Elephas maximus indicus: one gene and its partners. The protein of the gene in region 2 interacts with the protein of the main gene of each other region in a biochemical or structural test. Links are inferred from orthologs where the notes say so. Each region holds a gene or a part of one and is shown on either strand. Other genes may lie near its edges.

What was found. The genes of interacting proteins can lie anywhere in the genome.
Region 1: the proteins of SNTB1 (region 2) and MAPK12 interact in a test that uses a peptide from one of them, tested with the Homo sapiens proteins (2 studies listed by IntAct, with this or other methods). The link is inferred for Elephas maximus indicus from reciprocal best matches to the Homo sapiens genes SNTB1 and MAPK12.
Region 3: the proteins of SNTB1 (region 2) and FRMPD4 interact in a test that uses a peptide from one of them, tested with the Homo sapiens proteins (2 studies listed by IntAct, with this or other methods). The link is inferred for Elephas maximus indicus from reciprocal best matches to the Homo sapiens genes SNTB1 and FRMPD4.

The regions. Positions count from the first base shown.
Region 1 is NC_064822.1:196,610,086-196,617,944, forward strand, and holds the start of MAPK12 (mitogen-activated protein kinase 12), read right to left. Parts: upstream 3,005-7,859; 5' UTR 2,812-3,004; coding exon 2,687-2,811; intron 2,612-2,686; coding exon 2,482-2,611; intron 231-2,481; coding exon 172-230; intron 1-171. Other genes in the region: MAPK11 (mitogen-activated protein kinase 11), read right to left, coding at 5,925-6,184, 6,269-6,347, 6,677-6,756, 7,002-7,073, 7,768-7,859. UniProt on the Homo sapiens protein: Serine/threonine kinase which acts as an essential component of the MAP kinase signal transduction pathway.
Region 2 is NC_064833.1:21,924,235-21,931,799, forward strand, and holds the start of SNTB1 (beta-1-syntrophin), read left to right. Parts: upstream 1-4,554; 5' UTR 4,555-4,719; intron 4,720-4,836; 5' UTR 4,837-4,892; intron 4,893-5,295; exon of another isoform or gene 5,296-5,420; 5' UTR 5,421-5,641; coding exon 5,642-6,215; intron 6,216-7,565. UniProt on the Homo sapiens protein: Adapter protein that binds to and probably organizes the subcellular localization of a variety of membrane proteins. May link various receptors to the actin cytoskeleton and the dystrophin glycoprotein complex.
Region 3 is NC_064846.1:167,817,107-167,824,821, forward strand, and holds the start of FRMPD4 (FERM and PDZ domain-containing protein 4), read right to left. Parts: upstream 3,005-7,715; 5' UTR 2,345-3,004; coding exon 2,304-2,344; intron 1-2,303. UniProt on the Homo sapiens protein: Positive regulator of dendritic spine morphogenesis and density. Required for the maintenance of excitatory synaptic transmission. Binds phosphatidylinositol 4,5-bisphosphate.

The DNA.
Region 1 (7,859 bases), on a different chromosome or scaffold from region 2:
GGGGGCAGGGGGCTGGAGGAAAGGACTGCAGGGTAGCGAAGGTGGGTGGTGTGTGCCCTGGCCCCTGTCAGGGTTGCAGAGAGAGGCAAGCAGGCAGAAGTCCCCATGCTAACCCAGAATCCAGGAGCTGCCCTGCGCCCTTCAACCCCCAGCGTCCAGCTGGCCACTCACAAGTCTGTGAAGTCATCCAGGGTCTCGTCGGGAGTAAACACGTCAAGCAGCCCAATCACCTGGGGGGAGAGGGCCGAGAGCCAGTGGGGTCGGATCATGGCACCTCCCCAAGCTGGCCCTGGGCTCCGGGCAGGAACCCCCCTACAGCTGTCCACCTCCCCCCACATCCACAGGGCTGCTCTGCCCCTCAAAGCATGGCCCAGCCCTGGCACCCAGGCCCACAGATACAGGCTATTTTTGGATGGTGACAGCCAGGATCCTCCAGGGAGGGGCCACCCCAAGTCTGGGATGGCTACAAGCCATCTGAGGGGCTCCAGCCTGGTGACCACTTAGGGAACAGCAGTGTCCAGCAGGTGCTCCCCAGACCCAGGTGGGTACTGCTGTGAACAATCTGAGAGCAGGCCTAGCCCTGCGGAGCCCGTCAGGGAGATGGACAGCCAACAGGTAAACTGGCTGCTGCTGCCCCAGCTCAGGGAGGCCTCCGGCTCAGGGAGGACAGCCAACCTGAGTGGTGGAGGGGCAGGTAGAGGAGTAGCAGGGGTAGCCGGCAGAGGCCTGGAGCGTGTGGCCCGAGGAGGAAGGAAGAGCGCTTCGTGATTTTGAGGAACACAAGGAGGAAGGCCAAGTGGCCAGGGCCCAGGCCAAAGAAGTCAGGCAGGACCTCGCATGCCAAGTGAAGACCTGGCTTTGATCCTAAAATCTGCCCAGGGAGTGTTTTAAACGGGGGCAAGGTGTGAAACAGTTCTCCACCCGCTGTGTGGGGACAGACTGGAGTGAAGCAAGAGTGGACAGGAGGGTGGAGGACAGTTGGTGACCCCTGCAACCACCAGAGGTGGGATGAGGGTGGGGGAGGAGATGCCAGCTGGGTGCCTGGATGTTGGGGGAGGGCAAGCGTGACCTAGGCTGATGAGGGGCATGGGAGAGGGGAAGGGGCAGGGTCCTGATCAGAGATGGGTCCACACCGGACACATGGGCGACCCAAGAGAGAGGCCTGGGCGCAGATGGAGCCCGCAGGTGCAGCACTGAGAGCTGATGGCCTGAGGGTACCACCTGGACAGACAGTGTTTAGCAAGAAGAGAACAGGGAACAGACCCCTGGTGGAGGACTTCCGTGTCTGTCTCGGGTGGATGGTGGCAGGAGGGCGTGGGGTTTTAGGATGGGGAGGCCTGAAGGGACTGGCCTCCAGGTCAATAGTTGCTCTTTCACACACCACTACACCTCAGAGCCCAAGCTTCCTCACGGGAAAGTGGGGGTGCAGCTGGATGGGCCTGATGGCATGGTGGGGACAGCCAGCACAGCAGACAGCATCCTTATTGGCAAGGTGGGGCTACCGCCCGAGAAGGGTGCTGGAGCAGGGTCAGGGCCATGAGGTGACACAACTACAGGCCCCAGAGTGGAAAGTGGTGACGGGGGAGAGGCTGCTGGGTGGAGCTGGCTGAAGCCTGGGCTGGGGAGTGTGACTGGAAGTTGAGGGGCCAGGGAGCCCAGGGCCAGGGTGGGAGACAATGGGGCAGAGCAGGCAGCGTCTGGGAGTCAGGGGAGAGTCTGCTGGGGGACGCGGGAGGGTCCAGAGCATCAGTCAGGAGCACTGAGTGACCTCACAGCCTGCGGAGAGAGCCCTGGCAGGGAGAAGGGCTCTTAGCCACCAGCCTCAGAGACAGGGCAGCCACCTGTGGTGTCCCAGGGACAGGCTTAGAAACAACGGAAGGTCTTTCCCTGGCAGGGCCTGGCTCCTCCTCCGAAGGCCAAGGCAGGAAGGATGGCCCTTTTTGTGCCAGGACTGTGCCTGGTGCCAGGTGCTCTCCCCCACCAGCTCCCTAAACCCTTCACCTTACCAAGACACCGAGGCTGAGGTGATGAGCCCAGGAGCAGAGCGGGTTCAAGAGATGGGGTGGGAGCTAAGTGGAGCCTAAAGAGGAACCATCAGGGGTGCCCCCTGGAAAAGTGCCCCTTCCAGGAAAAATGCTCCTCCCACCTGCAGTGTCTCCTCTCAGCAGAGGCTCCTGGGTTGGAGGCAGGGTTTGGGGTGAGACCCACACAATGCCCCAGACCAGGGCCTGGGAGCCAGATGCGGGCAGCCCCTAGGAGAGGCCAGGAGCTGAGTTCTCTGCAGGGACCAGCTCAGGAGGAGGCCTAGACCCTGGAAGACAGTCCAGTGGCCAAGGAGTGCAAGGCCCCCACTGCCCACGCTTGCCCGGCCCCTCGTCAGGCACTGACTGGGCGCTGTCGTCGTGCCCTGCCTCCACCACTCCCTGCCTCCACCACTCCCGCACGGGGGTGGGGGTGGGGGGGCGGTGACTCCCGACTCACATTCTCGTGGTTTATGTGCTTCAGGAGGCGCAGCTCGCGGTAGGCGCGCTTGGCGAACAGCTCTGACTGGAAGGGCCGGTACAGTTTCTTGATGGCCACCCTGGCGCCGGTGCGGCTGTCCACGGCCGAGCTGCGAGGCAGGCCGCTCAGTGCGGGCCAGGCCACCCCTCCGGCCACCCGGTGCCAGCCCGCCGGCCACGCTCACCACACGGCGCCATAGGCGCCCGAGCCCACGGGCTGCAGGTCCCGGTACACGGCGCGCACCTCCCACGCCGTCTTGGTCACCTCCTGACGGTAAAAGCCCTTGCGGGCGGGTGGCGGGGAGCTCATGGCTGTCCCGCGCCCACCCCGCCGCGGGCGCCGGCCGGGGCTCGGGCCGATCGGCGGGGTTCCTTGGCGCGTCGGTCCGCGGGGCACTCCGGCTCTTCCCTTGGGGTCGCTGCCCTCCGGACACCCCCAAGCCGCTGACCCCGACCCCGACCCGGCTGCAACGGCGCACTGCCTGTCCCTCACCCGCGGACCAACCGGCCCACGGGCCCAGCGCACGTGACGGCCCCGCCTGGGCCCTCCGGAAACCTGAGGCGGCCGCGGGGAGGGGCCAGGGACTGCGGGGTGGGGGACAGGGGGAGCTGGGCCCGGCGTGGCGCTCAGCCCGGGTTCTGGGGCCCGCGGGGTTCCAGTGTGCTCCTTACTCCTCTATACACAGCCCCCTGGGCCCTGTCTGGCCGGCCTGGGCCCCTAACCTCTACCCCCACCTCCGGTGGTCACTGTCCACCAGCCTGCCTGACGCCAAGCCCTCTCCCCCATCCCCCACGGCCTCTTGTGCTCTGCATTCCTGATGTCAACTCCCTACTCCACCACCCAGGATGCCCCCACCCCTGGGGCTGGTTCATCCTTAGGGGAAGGGCTCACTTTTGTCGACAAAACTTTACAGGCTGCAACCCCAACACCTATCCCTGTGGTCACTGTCTCTAGGTCTCCCTGAGATCCCCCCACACCTCTTCCCCAGCCCGCCCGCGCTCTCCAGACCTCCAGGCCCACCTTGTAGGCCCCACAGACACCTTCAGCTCCCAGCCCCCCCACCTGACTTGGGGAGCACTTGCTCCCTGCCTTTGCTCAGCATGGGTATAGTCAGGCATGGTCTGGCCCCATCTTTGACTGGACCCCCCCACCCCTGACATTCTCCCCCAGTCCAGTAACCCCAGGGTCTGAAGAGGGAGCGTGGGGTCCCCCCAGGAGCTGACTTGAGGACAGGTAACAGGATCCTGATGCCCACTACCCCGCCCTCAGTGCCCCGCCTGCCCGCCATGAATCAGCAGCTCAGAGCCTCAAGCCTCAAGCCTGGCCAAGCAGCTTTACGCCTGGTGATCCGGGCGTTCACGAGTAGGCGGTGAGCTCAGGCAGCCTGAGGCCCGGCCCAGCCCAGAGACACAGTCTTCATGTGCCAGGGCTGCTCCTGTGAAGGCAGCATGGCCACCACACCCTCACCTCCTCTAGAAAGTACCCTCTGGGTGCCGCCATCCTCCCAGAGGTGAGGCAGTGTCCCAGTTCTGTGTCTGTTCCTCCCAACACACACTGGACTTGGCTGTCATCCTGGGACCTGAGGCTGTGCAGGTTCACTGACCACATGGTCCTCCACCACTTGAGGCCCAGGGTAAGGTAGGCTGTCCCTGACCCCTGGGGACCCCTGACAGAGCCCAGACCCCGACCCCTACATGTGAGCTGCAGTGAGTGGTAAGGGCAGGCCTGGTGTGGGTTGAAAGGGGCCGCCTTTCTCTTGCAGACTGTCCACACTGCAGGTGGCGCTGTCACTAGCCAGGCAGGAAAGGAATCCTGTGCCCCACCCCCTCTGGGTGGTGGGGACCCAGGAAACAGGGCCTAGAGCCTCAAACACCAGCGGAGCAAGAGGGAGCCCCTTTATTGAGCACCCTGTGAGCAGGCACTTCACATCCAGACCTCTCCAGGGCCCGTGAGGTAGGAAGTCACCACCAGTCCCCTGGATGCAGAGGCCCCACCAGGGAGGAATCACACCATCCACAGCCTCCAAGCAGGGTCCTTTTCCCAGAGGCTCTTGGGGTCAGCTCCATGCTGGGAGGAGGAAGGGATGGGGGTGGCCCCAGAGCCCAAAATCTCAGCCCTGGGCTGCAGGGCCATGCAGGAGAGGGGGCAGAATGGGGCCAAGGTTCAGGGACCAGAGCATCTGTATCCAAGTTCACACCCATGTGTGCACCGCCCGTTGTGTCAGGCCTTGAGGCTGGACACTTGCCTCTTCCCCACCCCTGGTCCCCAGCTGGCATTGTGCTCTCTTGCCTCAGAAACCTGCCATAGCTGCCCTTGGGCAGGGAAAGCACAATGGGTGTCCCTCAGCTGTCTGAGCCCCTTACATGGGGCACAGTAGGGTGTCGGGGCCCCTCATGGCATCAGGAACTGTCAGGGGAGAGGTGGGCAATAGTCCAGCCACCCTCACTTTGGCCTCCCACTGGTCCTGGCTGATGCCTTGGGAGCCTGCAGGTTCACACATGCCAGTGCATGCTTGCACAGGCCTGCACACGCTCCCTCACAAGGAACACATTCACGCACGTGTGCCCACACTGCACAGGCCCTCATGCAGGCACAAGGCAGCTCTTCTGCCCCCCAGGGAGGACACTTCGAGCCTGGTGGGGCACTGGCCATACCCCAGCTCTTGGCCTCTACTTCCTGGCTGAGCAGCTCTGACCAATGAGACCCGTCCCTTTAAGTGTCAGGGGCCCCTGCCCCAACCCCATCCCCAGGTACAGCTCTCTGGGACACAGAGGAGAGGAAGAGACAGGCACACTCCCCAGGCAGCCTCTTGGGCATTCAAGTCCCCCACTGTGAAGCCCCCAGATGGCCGGAAGGAGGTCACCACCATAGGCCCAGGGACATGGCACGCATGTGTGCACACATTTTCCTATGTTCCGACATATGTGTACAGCCTCCCTCTAGGTGCAGCGTGCAGGCTGAGGAGTCCCAGGCTAGGAGTCAGGGTTGCCGGGCCCTAGGGGTGTTGGGAGGCACCCCTCACAGGAAGCCAGTGTTCTGAGGAGGGGCAGGCTCAAGCCCCTTCCATGAGCTTGAGCGTGGCCAGCAGCAGCTCACTGCTCAATTTCCAGGCTGTCAGGCGGCTGTACTGGCTCTGGGGGCTGGAAGCTGAGGACTTCTTGGTAGGTGAGCTCTGGCGGAGGTAGAGAGGAAGGAGCACCCGGTGATACTGTGCCACCCCTGGCCCAGCCCACCCCACCTCCTGTGCATCTGGCACCTGCCACCCAGCCAGCCCCACCCAACAGGCCTGGGCACTGATGCTCTCTGAGAGCAGGCTCCACACTGCACCTCTCTCCAGAGCCTGTGCCGCCCCCATGCCTCTGCTCAACACCCCCACCCATCTCTGCCTGTCCCATCTGGGGTAGGGGCTGTGCTGTCCCTCCTTATGGACCGCCCTGGAGAAAAGCTGGGGTGCTCCCTGCAAAAATGGGCACCGCCCGGCCTCTACCCCAAGATCCCGAGCGCCCACCCTTCCACTCCTCCACCGTGCGTTCCTTTGCCTCCACACTTTCGTCGTAGGGCTCGGCTTCAGGCTCGTCATCAGGGTCATGGTACTGGCTGAAGTAGGCATGGGCCAGGGCTTCGGCTGCACTGACCCGCTGGTCGCTATCCAGGACCAGCATTCTTCCCAGGAGATCCACAGCTGCAGAGCACCAGAGTTAGGGAGGATGTCAGCTCCGCCTCCTGCCAGGAGTGGAACCCAGCCCCACCCTGATCCTGTCCTCACCCAGAGGGTTGGCTCCTTGGAAGATGCTCCGGAGATCCTTCTGGGGCATGGGGGGCAGGGACTGGATGTATGTCCGGGCCTGGGGGCACACAGGCAGGCCTAAGGGAGTGGACCACCCCCTATCCTCTTGGCCTCAAGCGGGGCAGGGGCCGCAGAGCAAAGGCCTAGGCAAGGGCATTTGGAGACCTGAGGCCTCCCCAGCATATCTGGTGGCACCTCCTCGCCTGCCTCCGTGCCTTCAGAACCTTGTGCAGGACTGTCTTCCCCACTCGCACCCATTCATCCCCGAAGGGGTCGGACTCTACCTTTCAGTGGCCCGTGCTCCCCATATAGAGCCCAGCCTGTTTCCCACTCTGTGTCCCCCTCCCCAGATGCCCTAAGCTCAGTCAGCAGAGGGGCCAGGCTCACGTGCTCAGAGGATATCTTTGCCAGAACCTCAGGGCTGGGCGTGCCCACCACCTCCATGATTCGCTTCAGCTGGTCAATGTCTGCCTCGCTCAGGAAATGACCACCGGCCAGGCCTGGACCTTCCTAAGCCCCCAGACCCAGGCCTGGGGACACTGCCCAGAACCTGTTCTCCTACAGTTGGACACAGTGAGCCCATGGTGCAAAGTGGGGGCAGTGTGGGCAAGACCAACCAGGGAGGGCCAGAGTCCACCTCCCTCCCTGTCCCCAGCCTCCAGGCAGGTGGGGACCCCAAATCAACTTTGCTCCCCAACCAGGACAAGGATACAATCATTCCCTGGAAAGAGGGCCTTTCCCTGGAGCAGCTCTGCCATGATGCAGCCCACAGACCAGATGTCCACTGTTGAGGGGGAGGCCTCCATCAGTCTGCCCACCCCAAGTCCCTCCTTGGGGAGCTCCTGGACCTCAGCAGCCCAGGAGACCCCCAGGCCTAAACGCAGTCAGACTCTTCTCCCTCTATTCTCAGCCGTAGGCAGGGGGAGGGGTTAGCGCTGGCTGCAGAAGCCAGGGAACGCCCCTGACCCCTGGCTCAGGGCTCTCTGAAGGTCTGTGTCTGATACTGGTCCACGGCCCGTCTCTCCTCCAAGGCTGGGCACCACTTCCTCTGCTCTCCCTTTGCCCTTCAGCCCTGCCGTGAGCTCTGCCTTCCCACCTGGCCCTGACAGGCACCTGTCTGGCCCCTCTGAAGGCCTGTGTCTGATGCTGGTCCATAGCCCCTCTCTCCCCTTGCTCTCCCTTCGCCCCTCAGCCCTGCCGTGAGCTCTGCCTCCCCACCTGGCCCTGACAGGCACCTGTCTGGCCCTTCTGAAGGCCTGTGTCTGATGCTGGTCCATAGCCCCTCTCTCCCCTTGCTCTCCCTTCGCCCCTCAGCCCTGCCGTGAGCTCTGCCTCCCCACCTGGCCCTGACAGGCACCTGTCTAGCCCCTCTGAAGGCCTGTGTCTGATGCGGGTCCATAGCCCGTCTCTCCCCTGCTCTCCCTTCACCTCTCAGCCCTGCCGTGAGCTCTGCCTTCCCACCTGGCCCTGACAGGCACCTGTCTGGTTATAGTGCATCCAGTTGAGCATGATCTCAGGTGCCCGGTACCAGCGCGTGGCCACATAGCCGGTCATCTCCTCATCGGCCTGG
Region 2 (7,565 bases):
ATGATTTAATATATACCATGAGATATAAAAAGACTAGCATATGGTTTGTTTCAATAACAGGCTGTTATAGACTAGATGTGAAAGAAATGGAATTCAAAAAGAGAAGGCAGAGGATAAACATCTAACTACTTGGGGCCACCATGAGTTGGAATCGACCCAATGGCAACCGTCAACAACAACAACTTGACTATTCTGCCTTGGCTTAGCCCTGCTCCCGCAAAAGTCCCCACTACAAAATTCTAAACACAGTGAGCCATGAAATAAATCCTCTCACCTGAATGACTGGCTGGTAGATAGTCTAGGCAATAGTCTTTCTAGTTTACCAAGGGCCCACCTGGGGAGTGGCAATGCAGAGTGCTTCCCAACCAATTGATGATGGACCTGTTGGCTGTCTGGGGCACATCAGAGAAGAAAACATCTGCTCAGCCTTCCATTCATGCATTGTTCCTCAGCCTTAGAACTTCACCTCTAAAATAAGAATCATTACCTCAGTATTATGATTTAGAATCTGGAGGGTGGTGATTTCCATATGCCTTTCACACTCAGCACACTCTCTGTGAACGTATCTGTCTTCCTGTCTTAATCGTGTTTGCATTCCTGGGTGCACCTGCTTCCAGCACCTACCTTAGTCCTTTACGAGAGTAACCTGTTGCCGTCAAGTCGGTTCCAACTCATAGCAACCCTATGGGACAGAGTAGAGCTGCCGCACAGACTGCGGCATCTTTCCCCTGAGGAGCAGCTCGTGGGTTTAAACTGCCAAGTTTTTAATTAGCAGCTGAGCGATTAACCACTGTGCCACCAGGGCTCCTGGTAAAGGTTTAGTCAACAGGTATTGACACAGGCAGGCCTTGCCTTAGGAGTTTTGCTTTCCAAGCATCCCTCCTGTTTTTTTCTCATGCTGTTCTCTAATTTACACCCAGCTATCCAAAAAAAAAAAAAAAGTACTCCATTTCCTCTTCTGCACTATTCACCTCGTATCCACTCTTCATACCATAGATTTGAAAAATCTCCCCTAAAGATGTTCGACCAACTCTTCATTCAAAAGTGCCAAAAGTACAATGATCATATTTTGCAAATCTAAGTACTGGAGGACATGTTCAAACCAGTAGAAGTTTACTTAAGGGCTAAGAGAAAGCAATATTTGAAGTCGGGACTGTCCCTGAAAATCCAGTGTGGTTGCTGAAGCTTGAAGGGAACAAGCAGATGGCCTGTGTGGTTATCCTACAAGGCGTTATCTATGTGATCTGGTCCAGCCCATCTCCTGATCTCCTCTCCTGCCTTCATCCTCCTCCCATGGGCTGTCCTAGCCAGTCTGACCTCCTTTTGGTCCTTTAAACCAGACAAGGGTGGTTCTGTCTCAGCTGCTTTGCATTGGGTCTTCCTTCTCCCTGGAAGCCTCTTCTCTGGATTTCCACCAGACTTCCTTCAGCTTGTGATTCATGTCTCAGTCCAATGGCACTTTCTCATAAAGGCTTTCCTGACAGCCATAGCCCCCAGGAGCCCTTGCCCCCAGTCACTCTCGATCCTGTTACTCTGTTTTAGTTTCTTCATGGCATTTACTTCTACACGGAAGTATTTTATGTATGCATCTACAGTCTGTTCCACTTCCACTCTACCACCCACCGCAACGTGAGCTTCGGGGAGCAGGTTGTTGCCCATTTGTCTGCTGCCAAATCCCAGCACCTAAAACAGTACCTGGGACATGTAGGTGCACAACAGGACTGTGGAATAAATGGGTGTAGACTGCTCCTTCTGCCACATGCTGCTGTTCTCTCATGCACCCTTGGCCCCCGTGAAGCTGAGGATTGTGTGACCTGCTCCTCAAGTCTAAGTCCACCCAAAACCTGTGAGAAAATGTCTGTCCCACAGAAAAAGGTATAGCAGGATCCTGGTTCTGGCTGGATGGAAAGGGAAGTCAAAAGCTTAGGACAGAAGAAGGACACAGAATAGGAAACAGGCCTAAGCAAAAACAAACCTGGTTTAAAAAAGGGGGACAAAGGTGATTCCAGGTATATTTTTTGGAATAGTGAAGTTGGAGTGGTAGTCAGGGTAACCCAGACCTAGGCTTAGCTTTGCCACAAACATACCATGTGGCCTTGAGTTGGTATTGCCCTCTCTCATCATATATGCACACCTTATAAAATGAGGGAGTTGAGGTCTCTTAAGTTCTTTACAGTGACCATTTTTTAAAAGGGAAGAGCATTGTTAGCTGCTGTTGAATCACCCTGACTCATGGTGACCCCTTGAACAATGGAATAAAACACTGCCCGGTCCTGCATCATCCCATTGATTGTTTGGGAATCGGACTATTGTGGACCATGAGGTTTTCATTGGCTGATTTTTTGGAAGTAGATCACCAAGCCTTTCTTCCTAGTCTGTCTCAGTTGAGAAACTCTGCTGACACCTGTTCAGCATCATAGCAACTTGCAAGCCTTCACTAACAGACAGGTGGTGGCTGTGCGTGAGGGGCGTGGGCTGGGAATTAAACCCAGGTCTCCTGCATGGATGGTGAGGATTCTACCACTGAACCACTAAGGCCTCACAAGAGAGTATAATCTGTCCTAAGTGTAAGTATCATGGGGCCACAGTGAAGCAGCCCCCCAAGAATTAAGAAATGAGGTAAATACTGTTTCCCTTTGAGAGTCGGTGTTAATAATCAGGGTCCAGATACGCAGAGTGGTCTGCAGGACAAGACATGGCCTCTAAGGCCAGAAGGACAGCAGTCGCCAGTATCAATGCATCAGCGTGTCTAAAAAAAAAAAAAGTGTCAATAACGTGTCCTCTAATATTGGAAAGAAGAGGTCATGGAAACTGCTGGCTCTACTCTTCCACATACTGCCTGGAGAAGGGGCTTTCACCCGTGGTGCTTTGTCCCCAGTGGAAAGGCTGGCCTTGTGTACAGATGGACATAAAGGCTGTAGCTGACATGTTCTGAGTATTTTCAAGAAACAGCGTAGGACAATGGTGAAGAGTCCAGACTCTGGAGTCAGACTGACTGGCTTTAAACCTTGGCTTGCACTTGCTACACGACAGGGACAAGTTGTTAAACCTCTCCATATCTTCACTGGCAAAATGGGAGTGATGAAGGTAATAAGTACCTCCTGGGGTTGCTGGGAGGATTAAGTAAGTTCATATAACTATACGTATTAAGTTAATATAACTACACATATTAAGTTAATATAACTATAATACTAAGTAAGTTAAAAAAAAAAAAAAAAAGTAAGTTAGTACTTATTAACTTATTTAATCCTCCCTGGAACTCCAGGAGGTACTTACTATCTTCAGCACCTTGAACAATGGCAAAGCCATCTCTGGCTAAGATGCATGTCTCAGGCCTAATTTATATTAAATAACAGACTCCCCTCATTCTGGTGCTACTTTCAATAAGCAACCTACCTCTTCCCATGCAGGTTTCCTTCCACAGGGGAAAAAAATGTGTTAATCATAGAGATGCTGAGGATTTCCCAACCCAGAGCCTGTAATTTCTCATGACAAATCAATAAATTATCTCTGCTTGTGCCTAGGCCTCCCACATTGCTTGTCCACAGGGAGCAGATGCAGACACGACGTTGACGGCAGCTTTCTGGTCCAGGGTCGGCTTTCTTTGGATTTCTAAATAAACACACTGGCATTCTAGTGCCTACTCCCATCTTCCCTTGCTTTGGTTAGAAGACAAGCGCTCAGGCTTTAATTTTCCCTGAACAGTGATGTGTATGAGTCCGAAGCTTCTACGGCAAACCCTAGCTGACTTTCCCCGGACAGTGGTACTGCCTACATCAGCTCCCTGCTGATCCTGCACACGGAGGGCTAAAGGGTCCTTGTGGCTGCTGTCCCTGCTGTAGGGGGCCTTTGCACGAAAGAATAAAGAGCCTTGGAAAACCAGCTGGTTAAAAAACTATAGAAAAGGTGGGAGCTCCAAGCAGAAGTAGCCATCCAAAGGCTCCTCCTTGTCAGTCTGCAGTGCTTCTCCCAGCTCAAAAAAAAAAAAGGTTCATTTTCTTCTGTGACCCTGCCTGCAACTCCATGCTTTAGAGATTCGTCTCAGTTTTAAGCATCCTTGATTAAAAGAGTAACTCTTGGAAGGGTCCGAGAACTTCCAATGATGCTGCTACACGTCAATGTGAACCTGTTCTATGAGGCTTCTTCCTCCTGACACCTTGCTTCACCGGGTTTAACCCTGAGGAACTCACCGAATTGCGAGTTATGTTTTGTTATTGCAGAGAGGGGAGAGAAATGTAGGAAGGGGAGATAAATAAGAAGTGTGGAACACTTTGACAGGCCCACGAGGCTTGCTTTGGGTGGGTGGAGAACCAGAGAGGTTCAAGGTCCTGTGGCCCCCCTGCCAGGAGGACATTGAGAGGTTGGCTATAACATGGGTTATGTTGGCTTTTCTGGATTGGCCTGGAAAGGTAACCAATAATTATAATATTGTTACTCTAGAAAGACAATGGTTTAGCTCCAAGCAAGTAACCTGTAAAGGAACTTTTGAGATACAACCCACTGCAACTGAGTTCTTAAACTGGGAGACTTCCTGTACTGGATCTTGGGAAGAAAGTGAAAGCTCCAGAAGGCATTTGGTGTGGCCCTGGGGGGAAAACACAGATCAGAAGCGCAGACCATTTAATGTGTTAGAGATGGACGAGCATTTCTCCTTGGAGTCTGGGGCAGGCAGTGACCTGCTGGAGCCCAGGCCAGCAGAGACTCCTCTCCAGAGGCCGGGTAAGAAAGATATCCCACATCTAAGGAGAGGAGGCGTAGGACGCTCGATTCTACTGACGTTTCACTCTGGGTTCTTGGAATAGCCTTCTCTCCTTACATTTTTTTCCTTACTCTCAGGGAGCCCAGGGCCTCGGTTTGCCTTCCTCCTGACTCCTTGAGGAGAGACGAGCCAGGTAAGAACTTAGCAGAGGAGGCAAGCCTCGGTTTGAGGAAGTCAGAGAGAGGAGACCGGTTCAGGTACACTTGGGGGAAGGAAAAAAAAACAAAAAACAAAACTAGGGGACAATTCCACATTGGTGTGAAAGGGAAGCGGGATCAGGAGGATGGAGTGAAAGTGCTCAGGCAAGACACACAGATCCGGCAAAGCTGCGAGGTGGGGGCCTGAGGAGAAGGGAGAGTTGAGGACGGAGGGCTGGGACCGGGCAGAGAGAAGTGGGACTGGGAAGGCGCGCGGGAAGCGGTCCTCGCCGTCACGCGGTCCGAAGGGGAGGCGGACCGAGTCGGAGCCGGCGGGCGACCGCTGAGCTGCGGCGCTGGAACAGGTGAGCGGCTGCCTGGCAGTCCCCGCCCTTCCGCGAGCGCGCCTCCTCCTGCCACTCTCCCCGCGCGCGCTTCACTGTGCCGCGGCGCCCCTGGGTTTGGGGTTTTGCAATTGAGAGCGGTTTTTTTCCCCCCGTCTCTTTCTCGCCTTCTTCGTTTAGAGGCTCCACCCCGCCCAGGATCAGGCGAGGGGAGTGAGCCCGGCTCCAGCTGCCAACTCGCGGAGCGCGTCTCCGAGCTCCCGGAGCGGAGTCCCGCGTCCCGCCTCCTGACCGCGGGCGCGCCCTCTGCGCTCCCCCAGGCCCAGAGTCCAGCCCCCGCCCCACCCTTCCCCACTTTTCCCCGCTTTGCAATCACATGGCATTTTAAGAATGCCGGAAAGATGGCGGTAGCGGCGGCGGCGGCGGCGGCGGTGACGACCGGGCCGGCGGGCGCGGGAAGCGGCCGGGCGCAGCGGAGCGGACTGCTGGAAGTTTTGGTGCGGGATCGCTGGCACAAAGTTCTGGTGAACTTGAGTGAGGACGCCCTGGTTCTGAGCTGCGAGGAGGGCGCGGCGGCATACAACGGCCCCGGGACCGCCACCAATGGCTCGTTCTGCAGGGGCGCCGGGCCCCCGGGCGCGGGCGGCGCGCAACCCCCGGACTCGCCAGCGGGGGTCCGCACTGCCTTCACCGACCTGCCCGAGCAGGTGCCCGAGGCTATATCGAACCAGAAGCGCGGCGTGAAGGTGCTGAAGCAAGAGTTGGGCGGACTGGGCATCAGCATCAAGGGGGGCAAGGAGAATAAGATGCCCATCCTCATCAGCAAGATCTTCAAGGGGCTGGCGGCGGACCAGACACAAGCTCTGTACGTGGGCGACGCCATCCTGTCGGTAAACGGAGCTGACCTGCGGGACGCCACCCACGACGAGGCGGTGCAGGCGCTGAAGCGCGCGGGCAAAGAGGTGTTGCTGGAAGGTAAGGGGTTAACACGGCGTGGGATGCGCCAGGCGCGCCCACACCCACCGGCACACTCACACCACCCACAGGCTCTCACATCCCGGGAGCATGGGGAGGACAGGTGGCCAGGAGTTTCGACAACTTTTACCCACCTGGGGGTAACTTCTCCAGCGCCTAGAGTGGTGACAGGCTTTGACCCAGTGGGTGTGTGTGAAAAGGCAAGGCTAGCAGGGTGTACTGAGCCCCGACTGCGTGTCACGCACGGGCTGAGTGCTTAGTGAACGCTGTCTCATTCTACCTGGGAATAATCCGAGTGTAGTGGAGAGGCTGGGAACTGGAACGGGAAGCGAAGGGTAGACTCAGACACATTCACCCATCCACGTAGCAAAGTGGGTCCAACTTTTCCGCTTTAACGAAAATTTCCCTCTTAGAAGCCTGGGTAACCCAACTGAAAGAGGTTGAATCATAAAGAGGCCAGAGAGAGGTGGCAACGTTAGAATGCTAAAATTCCAATCACTCTTCTCCCTGTCTCTCCTGCAAATTGGACACTGGGGTTATGCCTAGGGAGTTGTGCCAAGGGCTGAGGAATACGGCGCAGTTTTATGCACCAGTTCACTTGTCCTGCAGGGTGCCGGGCCGGTCAGTCTGGATTCCAGGTTGCTCTGGCTGGAGAAGTGGTTTTTTTTTCTGCCTGCATTTTCCCCGGCTTGTTTTGGAGTGGTGTGGAAACAACATTGCATTTCTAAATAGCTTCCCCGACTTGTTAGGCGCCTTAGAAACTTCTGTCATGAGATCAGAGGCTCCCAGTCCCCTAAGGATTGAATATGAATAGGATAGGAATAACAGTTTAATGTTTGTGGATATGTGGAAGAGAAGGGCAATAGGGTAGTAAACCCATAATTCATTTTCCTTCCCTTTGCAGATACATTGCTCATTTGGAATCTGGCTCTCTGCTCCTCGGCTCTTTGTACATACCTCCTCTGTCAGCACTAACCTTGTATTCTTTTAGTTCCTTACCCAGCCACCCCCTAATTTGAGATTGAGTTGTCTGGGGGTCTTTTATCTGTTCTGGGCCTCCCTTGAGCTTACGTGCTCACCAGCATGCGTGCTGAGTGAGTGAATAAATGAATGCCTAGCCACGGAAATAGAACATGTCAGCAGCGACTTTGTAAACTGGTGGTTGATTGAAGTCCTGAACCAAGGACATAAATCAATTTCCTGCTCACCTCGTGGCAGTGCTGGTGTGTGAAACTGAGAAAGTTCAAAGTAGGGAAACCAACTTTGCTACGAGTGACAGCCAGTGCAACTCCCTGGTACATGGTGGCCCACCTCCAGGCCTAGAATACAGAGCTTTTTTGTTTGCTTGTT
Region 3 (7,715 bases), on a different chromosome or scaffold from region 2:
CACAGGCCTGAGGTAACTCTGCGTATTCCCCTCTAAAGCAAGAGAATTTTAAGCACTCAAGTAACCACGCTGATCAAAGCTAAATCCCTTAGGAAGATTATCCATTCTGAAATCAGGAAAATCCTGCAATGTAAGCACTTTTCTGCTCCACCTTTGTGAAAAGAACTTGATTTCTGCAACACTGTTTCAAACACACACACATACAACCCTCTAATGCTTGCAGGGCAGAAATAGGCAGCTGCAAACGTGTTTCTGCAAGCTGATGGCCCTCTCGAGGTGTTTCTAGCTCAGCTTGGGGACCATCTTTGAGCTCACACAGAAGAAAAGGAAGAACTCCTAGGGATGGAAGATTTGTTAATGGGCACATAAGCTCAGGACATGTGCACCTTCTCTTTAGAATCAACTCTCTATGGCATGACAGTAAAGATAGAAATTGAAATTCACACTCTCTCCCTAGAGTTTTTTTTTTATGCTAATCCCTCACAAACCCGCCTTGGGTTTTGCAAATGCTCAGATCTGTTAACACCATGAAGGCATCCTAGAATTTAGGAAACTTTGAGTCGAAAACCTCTTTTCTCTGACACCAGCACTGTCCTCTCCCAAGCTCCAAAGTTTAAGGACAAAACCTAGGCTCTAGATGTTTTGTTCAGCTTGCTGTTTTGAGTATCCGAGGGCACTGCAAACTATTTTGGTTACTTTATACTATTGGTTGAATGTCCCTTTTCCCTTCACCAATCTCTCTGTCCATCACACAGAGGGCTCCATGCACTTTCTAAACTTACCCGCAGTTATTTCGCATCCATGTGTGATTTAACAGCTGTTTATAAACCAGCCATGGGCAGAAGCACGCAGGAAGTGGTGTGACGCCATGGCTGTCTATGGTATCGGTGGGAAACCAAACAATGCTATACCACAATCACCCACTGCTTAACTCATGAGTCTTCTGATGTGTGGGAGCCTGGGGGCTCTAGGCAGATGTATTTACCCAAGTCTACCTACCCAGGGTAAGTGACCGTGGGGCCCTTTCCCTAGAGGAATCAGCTGGTGATATTAAGACTGACCAGTGTGAGTGGAGAGGGAAGGTGGAGACGAGCAGGAAGAATAACTAAAGACCTGTAGATGCTGGAGAGGGACATGTCCTACTGACAACATCCAAGCTTAATGTTTCTGAAATGGCCCAAATGTAATTTGGCAAAGCAAAGTCAACATACGTTTCTGACTCGGGGTATTTGAGGCTGCCTGTTCCTGCCTGATGCAATCAACACGGCCCACCCAACACTAAAGAATGAAGACAAACCTAGAATTATTCTGTCTTTCTAGCAGGTCTTTAAGCTGCATCCTGGTAAAACCCTACTGTCTACCTCCTAAGGTGGTGATGGTAACTGCTATAAAGAGCTCAGGGGCAGAAGGCCAGGCCTTCCAGGGACTTGGGCAGAGAAAGTTGGGCAGGGTTTTCGGAGACCTCTCTTACTGGGCTCTTCTCGTGTTGAGGCCACACTGCAAGCGGCAGACCTTCCTTCTTGGGCTCAGTGGAGACTTTGGAAGCCCAACTTAGAAACCTAAGCAGGGCAGAAGACTGAGGAGGAATGCTCTGACCAGATAATAGTAGCTAGGCGGTCCAAGAGTGGGAATGTACCTCCTCCTGTCAAGCCCTGCCCAGGAAATCTGCCTGAATCCAGGATTTTTCTTTGGTTTCCACAACACAGCCACTTGGAAACAAATTTCTAAATCTTTCAAAGCTGAGAAATATATAGTTACCCAGGGAAAGGCTTAAGGTCTTTCTCTTCTATCTCCATGACTTCATCATCTAGGTCACTGGTGGGAACACTCAACCTGAGTCAACCTACAAGTGGACTTTTTCGGGTGTGGACGTCTAATTTGGGGGTAAGGGGCGACAGGGACACTTTATGTTGCTGCTACTTGGAAGGCAGGTACCCAAGCTACAAGCACTCTGGGCTTGTCCTAGAAGCAGCAGCAGCAGCAACTACAACCATCTTTTCTTGGTCCTGAATTGCACATGTGACCCCAAGTACCACTGGGGCTTTTCCTAAGGGAAAACAAACTGTCGTGAAGATCCGTGTGTGCGTGAGCGCGCGTGGGTCTCTGCGTGTGCAGTCTATGCCCGGGGAACCAGTGAGAAATAGATTGAACGCTATAGCCCCTGGCCACGCCGTTCCAGTCCGATCTGAAGCCCCACTGTTGTCCCCAGCTTTTGCTGTTCCCCAAACCTCCCGCAAAATCAAGCGCCAAGTTGCCCGTGGTCGTGGCGGCCCCGGGTGCAAGCGAACCAGCGCGGATCCTACCTCGAGAGCTTTGCAATCTTCACAAAGCTGAAGACATCCATGCGGGCAGCCGGGGACTCCCGAAAGCGCAGCGCTGCTTCCGTTGCCCCTCCTCAAGACCGCAGCGGCCGCAGCGGCAGCCCCATGACCGGGACCTCGGCGCGCCCGGGGCTCGAGTGGCGGCGACGGCGGGTGGCGGCGGCGGCCCGGTTGAGCCGGCACCTGGAGGCGGCGGCTGCTACCCCCCTCCGGCCGGGAGCTGCGTGTGCATTCCGAGCAGGACCGTGGAGCGGCGCCGCGCCGGGAAAAGTCACTGGAGAGGGGCTGGGCGCGGGCGGGGGCGGCCGATCGTGCGCCCCGCCCCGTGCGCCCTGGCGGCGGGAGGCGAGGCGGCGCGGGGGTCCCTCCTGCTCCAGCCGCGACCCGTGCCCCGCGCTCCGGGGAGCGCAGATGCACTGGGAGGCGACGGGCTACTGGCGCGGCTCACGCACCCCTCGCAGCACTGCAGTTGCCTCCCCGCCGCCTTCCTGCCCGAGTCCCCGTTCCTGTCCCCACCCCCACAGCCCGGGGAGGGGGCACACGCTCCTGTCACCCTCTGTGTGCGCCTCTCGAGCGGCAAGATCGGCTCCAACAGTCTCTGGCACACTGAGGGCCCGCAAACGCCACCCCGCCCTCCCCAAGCCCGACGAGGGCCGGGCCACCGCAGTTTGCCCAAAGCCTCAGTGGGTTCCACAACCACCCGTAGCCCAGGCGGACGATCCGGGAGGGTGCAGGCAAGATCGCTGGTCCAAGGAAAGGGGAGGGAGATACCCAGCGCGGTGGGCGCGATTTGGAAAGCGCAGAGTTCTCACTGCCTTCCTCGACCTGCTGGGGCAAGACGTGCCAGCCCGGCCGGCTGGGAAGGAGTGTCTTAGGAATCAGCGCCAGGGGGGCGTCGGCGAAATCAAAACAATTAGAACCAGAGCCTTGTGTGTGTGTTGGGGGCGGGGGAAGAAGCGATAACAGCTAGAGGGGGACAGGCGAGCAGGGGGTCCCAGCAACCCGCGGTGGAGGGGGCGGGGGGGGCTCGTTTGAATGGGGGGCTCAGACTTATAGAGAAGGGATGAGAATGGGGTCTGGCCTGCAGACCTAGCTGCTTTTTCAGATTGAGCGGTGGGTGAAGAAGGAAACAAACAAAATACAAAACCAACCCTCGCCTGAAAAAAACGAAAGCAGAGAAAACGTAAACACTCACCTTAAGCAGAGTAAACTCCAACTTGCAGCCATTTAGCACACCTACCCCGCCTCCCCCTTCAGTAACTCAGTTCTGTCTCCCAGGAAGCCCCTCTCTCTTCTTTCTCTTGGAGTCTCAGGACCTCTTCTCCAAAATCCTTGCAGAATTTCCCCCAAGCTTCTCTGAAGGAAGGTCAGCTGGTCTCCCAAAATGTGTCTCCCACCCAGCAGCGTTCATCTGCCAGCAGGGCCACCGCAAAGAAACGCTGCCACCCCCGAAATACTGGAGGAGCTAGCCACAGCAGCTAGCTCTGGAGGGGATCAGGGAAAACAGAATGGGTTTAAAGTTCTCAGACTTCTGCTCCTCTTCTGGTCTGAGGCTGGATTGAAAGTCTTCAGTATTCAAGCCAGGTACTTCCAAGTTAAAAAAAAAAAAAGCAATTCTTTCAAAAATTAAACATAAAATAACTAGCAATCTGCAAAACCTAATGATTTAAAGCTCACAGGTACAATGCTTACCTTTTTTTTTTTTCTTGAAGTAAATGGAATCAATGTCCCTTGAGCTTCTTGTAGATAAACTATAATTTCATGGCTCAGAGGAGGCCAGGGGAACCTTGGCTTGTGAACCCCCTATTGTTTGTGTAAAATAATAATTATAGTTTGGGTCTGCACAGTGCTTGAACATTTTTAAAACAGTTCTGCAATTGAGTCTCATAGCAACCCTGTCATATAAGTAAGGCACATGTTGAAAAAAGAGAAATCTTTTATTTTTATGCCACAATCTATTTTCAATGTACTAGTCAAAGAAATGTTTTTTAAACGTGGGTCGGATAATGTTACTTGCTGGATCCAAGCCCTGCAAAAGCTGTCCATTCTCCTGAGAGCTACAGTTGCACCCCTACGATAACCAACAAGGTCTTAGTCACCCTGGCCCTTGATCTCTCTGACCCTATCTGACCTCCCTTCTTCTCTCCCCTCCCATCCTGCTCCAGCAACACTGGCTTCCTTGCTGCTTTTCAAACTGGGCAGGTATCCCGCCACGTTAGGCTCTTTGCAATGGCTGTTCCCTCTGCCTGGAATACTCTTCCTTCAGATATTTGCATGGCCAGCTCCTTCACCCCATCAGGCCTTTCCACAAATGTCGCCTCCAAAAAGCACCTCTGAAAAGCCTATCTGAAACTTCCAGGCCTGCATCCCCTGGCCTCTGAGTCCCCATGAACTGCTCCATTTTTTCCTGTTTCCTTTTTTTTTTTTTTATAGCACTTATCACCCACCAACACACTAGATAATTTATTTTTATGTTTATTGTTTCTTCTCTGATTCCTGCACTGGAATGAAAGCTCCACAAGGGCAAGGATGGATTTCACTGATGGGTCTCAAATGTCAAGGACAGTTCCTTGGATATGTTGTTGTTAAGTGCCGTTTGGACTCACAGAGACCCCATATGACAGAGTGGAACTGCCCCACAGGGTTTTCTTGGCTGTAATCTTTACAGGAGCAGATGGCCAGGTTTTTCTCCCACGGAGCTGCTGGGCGAGTTCAAACCACCGATCTCTTGGTTAGTAGCCGATCACTTAAGCACTGTGCCACCAGGGTTTCTTTCCTTGGATGTAGAAAGACCTTAATAAATATTTGTTGAATGGACAAATTTTATGTTCATCAGATTCTCAGACAAATCCAATCGGTCTGGCATCCCATCGGTGCTGCTCTGTCTCTGACCTCAGGGCTTATCTTTGCCCACGCCCCCCACCCCCAAACACACACACTCTTCCTTCCTCAGCAGCCTTCACTGTTTGCATGTCCTTTGAATTGCTAATGTGGCAATGAGGACACTCCCACATTCTCCAGTTCTTTTTTTCCTTCACTCTCTCTACCCCTTCCCAAAAGAGCGGCCACAGGCACTAGGAGACCAGTTTTGGATCAGGAAAGGGGGATGAAACAATGCCTTCAGAAACTGTATTTTGAAAAGTTTTTCCTTTTGAGAACAGAACAGTAGGGCTTTCTTCTTAAAAACATAATTCCATACCAAACAGCTAATCACCTGGTCGTGAAAATGACAAGAAATAGACATAGTGTTGACTTGTAGGGAGACAGACACCCTTCAAGACATCTGGTCGACCTGGAATAGCTTGCTGTTGGGCTTCTCCCCTCCGCCAATTTGTACAGTACAATTATTCACAGTGCAGATGCCCACTCTCCACAGCGTTACAGCCAGCGAGGGAAACGACTGGCTTCTCCAGTCCTTACACTCTTCTGATATATTAATGTTCTGGTATGTTTCTGGTGATCAATAGCTTTTCTTCTAAAGCAAAGACGTTCTGCCCCGCCTCCTTTGTTTCTCAGAGATGTAAAACTGGAAGTTCTGCTGCTCTGAAACACCATTAAGCCCTCTGAAAGAGATTTGAGTAGCTGTTCCATCAGCTCTAAGGAGCCCTGGTGGTGCCGTGGTTAAAGCACACAGCTGCTAACCAAAAGGTCGGTAGTTCAAAGCCACTAGCTGCTCAGGGGAGAAAGATGTGGCAGTCTACTTCCGTCAAGATTTATAGCCTTGGAAACCCTATGAGGCAGTTCTACTTTGTCCTATGGGGTTGCTATGAGTTGGCATCAACTGGACAGCAGTGCGTTCAGTCTGAGTTTTCTATCAGTTCTGACCTTCTCTGTACCAGGTGTGTGCGGCAGAGGTTGGAATATGTTTCTATGTCTAACATGAAATGAATCTCCCTAAAACAAAACAAAAAACCAATGAGTGGCACCTTGAGCAGATTTTCTGAAGTTTTTTTTTTTTAGTCTGGATAACCTCTAAGGCCCCTTCGATATTTTGTAGGAGGAAAGTGGTGGCTCAGTGATAAAATTTTCACCTTTCATGCATGAGACCCAGGTTCAATTTCTAGCCAATGAACTGCAAGGACAGCCACCACCTGTCAGGCGAGAAGCTTCCATGTTGCTGTGATGCCGAACAGGTTTCAGCGGAGCTTCCAGACTAAGATGAACACGGAAAAAAGGCCTGAAGATCTATTTTCGAAAACCAGCCAATGAAAAAACCCTGTGGATCACAGTGGTCCAATCCTGTTGTACATGGGGTTGCCATGAGTCAGGGTCCGACTCAATGGCGGCTAACAACAACTACGACATGCTTTGTAGAGGTTTTACTCATCAGGACCTCTATTACCCTCCTTGCAAATCTACTTAATTTGCCTTACTTGTATCCAAGAGACATTTGGCCATTTCTGAAAACCAAACACACTTTCAAAGACTGTTGAATTTACTCATGAATAAGAGACTCAAAGTCAACGGATCCAGAGTAAGTCACTTAACTTCTCTGAGACTCAGTTTCCCTGCCTTTAAAATGGAAATGATAATACATCCCTACCTTACCGAATGAGCGCTTGAATGTGGACACCAGTTCAGAGTTGGCACATGGATATTAGCTCCAGAAAGACATCCACACCTGTTTTGAGTCTTGGCAGCACTGTCACCAAAAGTTGCAGCCTCTAAAATCACTGCTTTGAAGATGACAATATTTGCTTGGATTGTTCAGATGTGGATATTTTTGCCACAATCATCGAAACCCTAAGCAGTGTTATTTTTTATGCTCTGGGAGAATTCTCAGGACAAAATTTTTTATGCTCTGGGAGAATTCTCAGGACAAAGAAGAAGGAGTTTCTTCTTCGTTAAGTTCTTACCTAAAGTTGATGTTGGGAATCTACTATTGGCCCAGATGTTTCATACGGGTTGGCAGCTAAGGGTCCTTTTGCTGCACGTTACAATAGAGAAAACTCTATGCCTTTTCCATTTGGACTGTAGCATCTCAACCATCTCGTTATAGCCCTGAAAACAGAAGTGAGTAAATAAAAGCATAGTATCCATTCATTTAATAAATATTCATGGAGTTTTTCCTTTGTACCAGGCACTGTCCTAAGGAAATATACCAGAGAACAAGGCATATTTCTGCTTTCATAGAACTTACATTCTAATACGGAGACAGACAATAAAAATATAAAATATCATATCATGAAGTATTACTTCCTTTGCCAGGACACCAGAACTGGATGGTGTCTGGCTACCATTACTGAATGTTTTGATCAAGGACTCAATACAATAGACGAGTCCTGATCAAAAAGAGGAAAAAGATGGAACAGAATTTCAAATTTCTTATAGAATCCAGACTTACAGGACCTATTGAAGCTGGAGGAAGCTCTGAATCTGTTGCCCTGAGAAAAT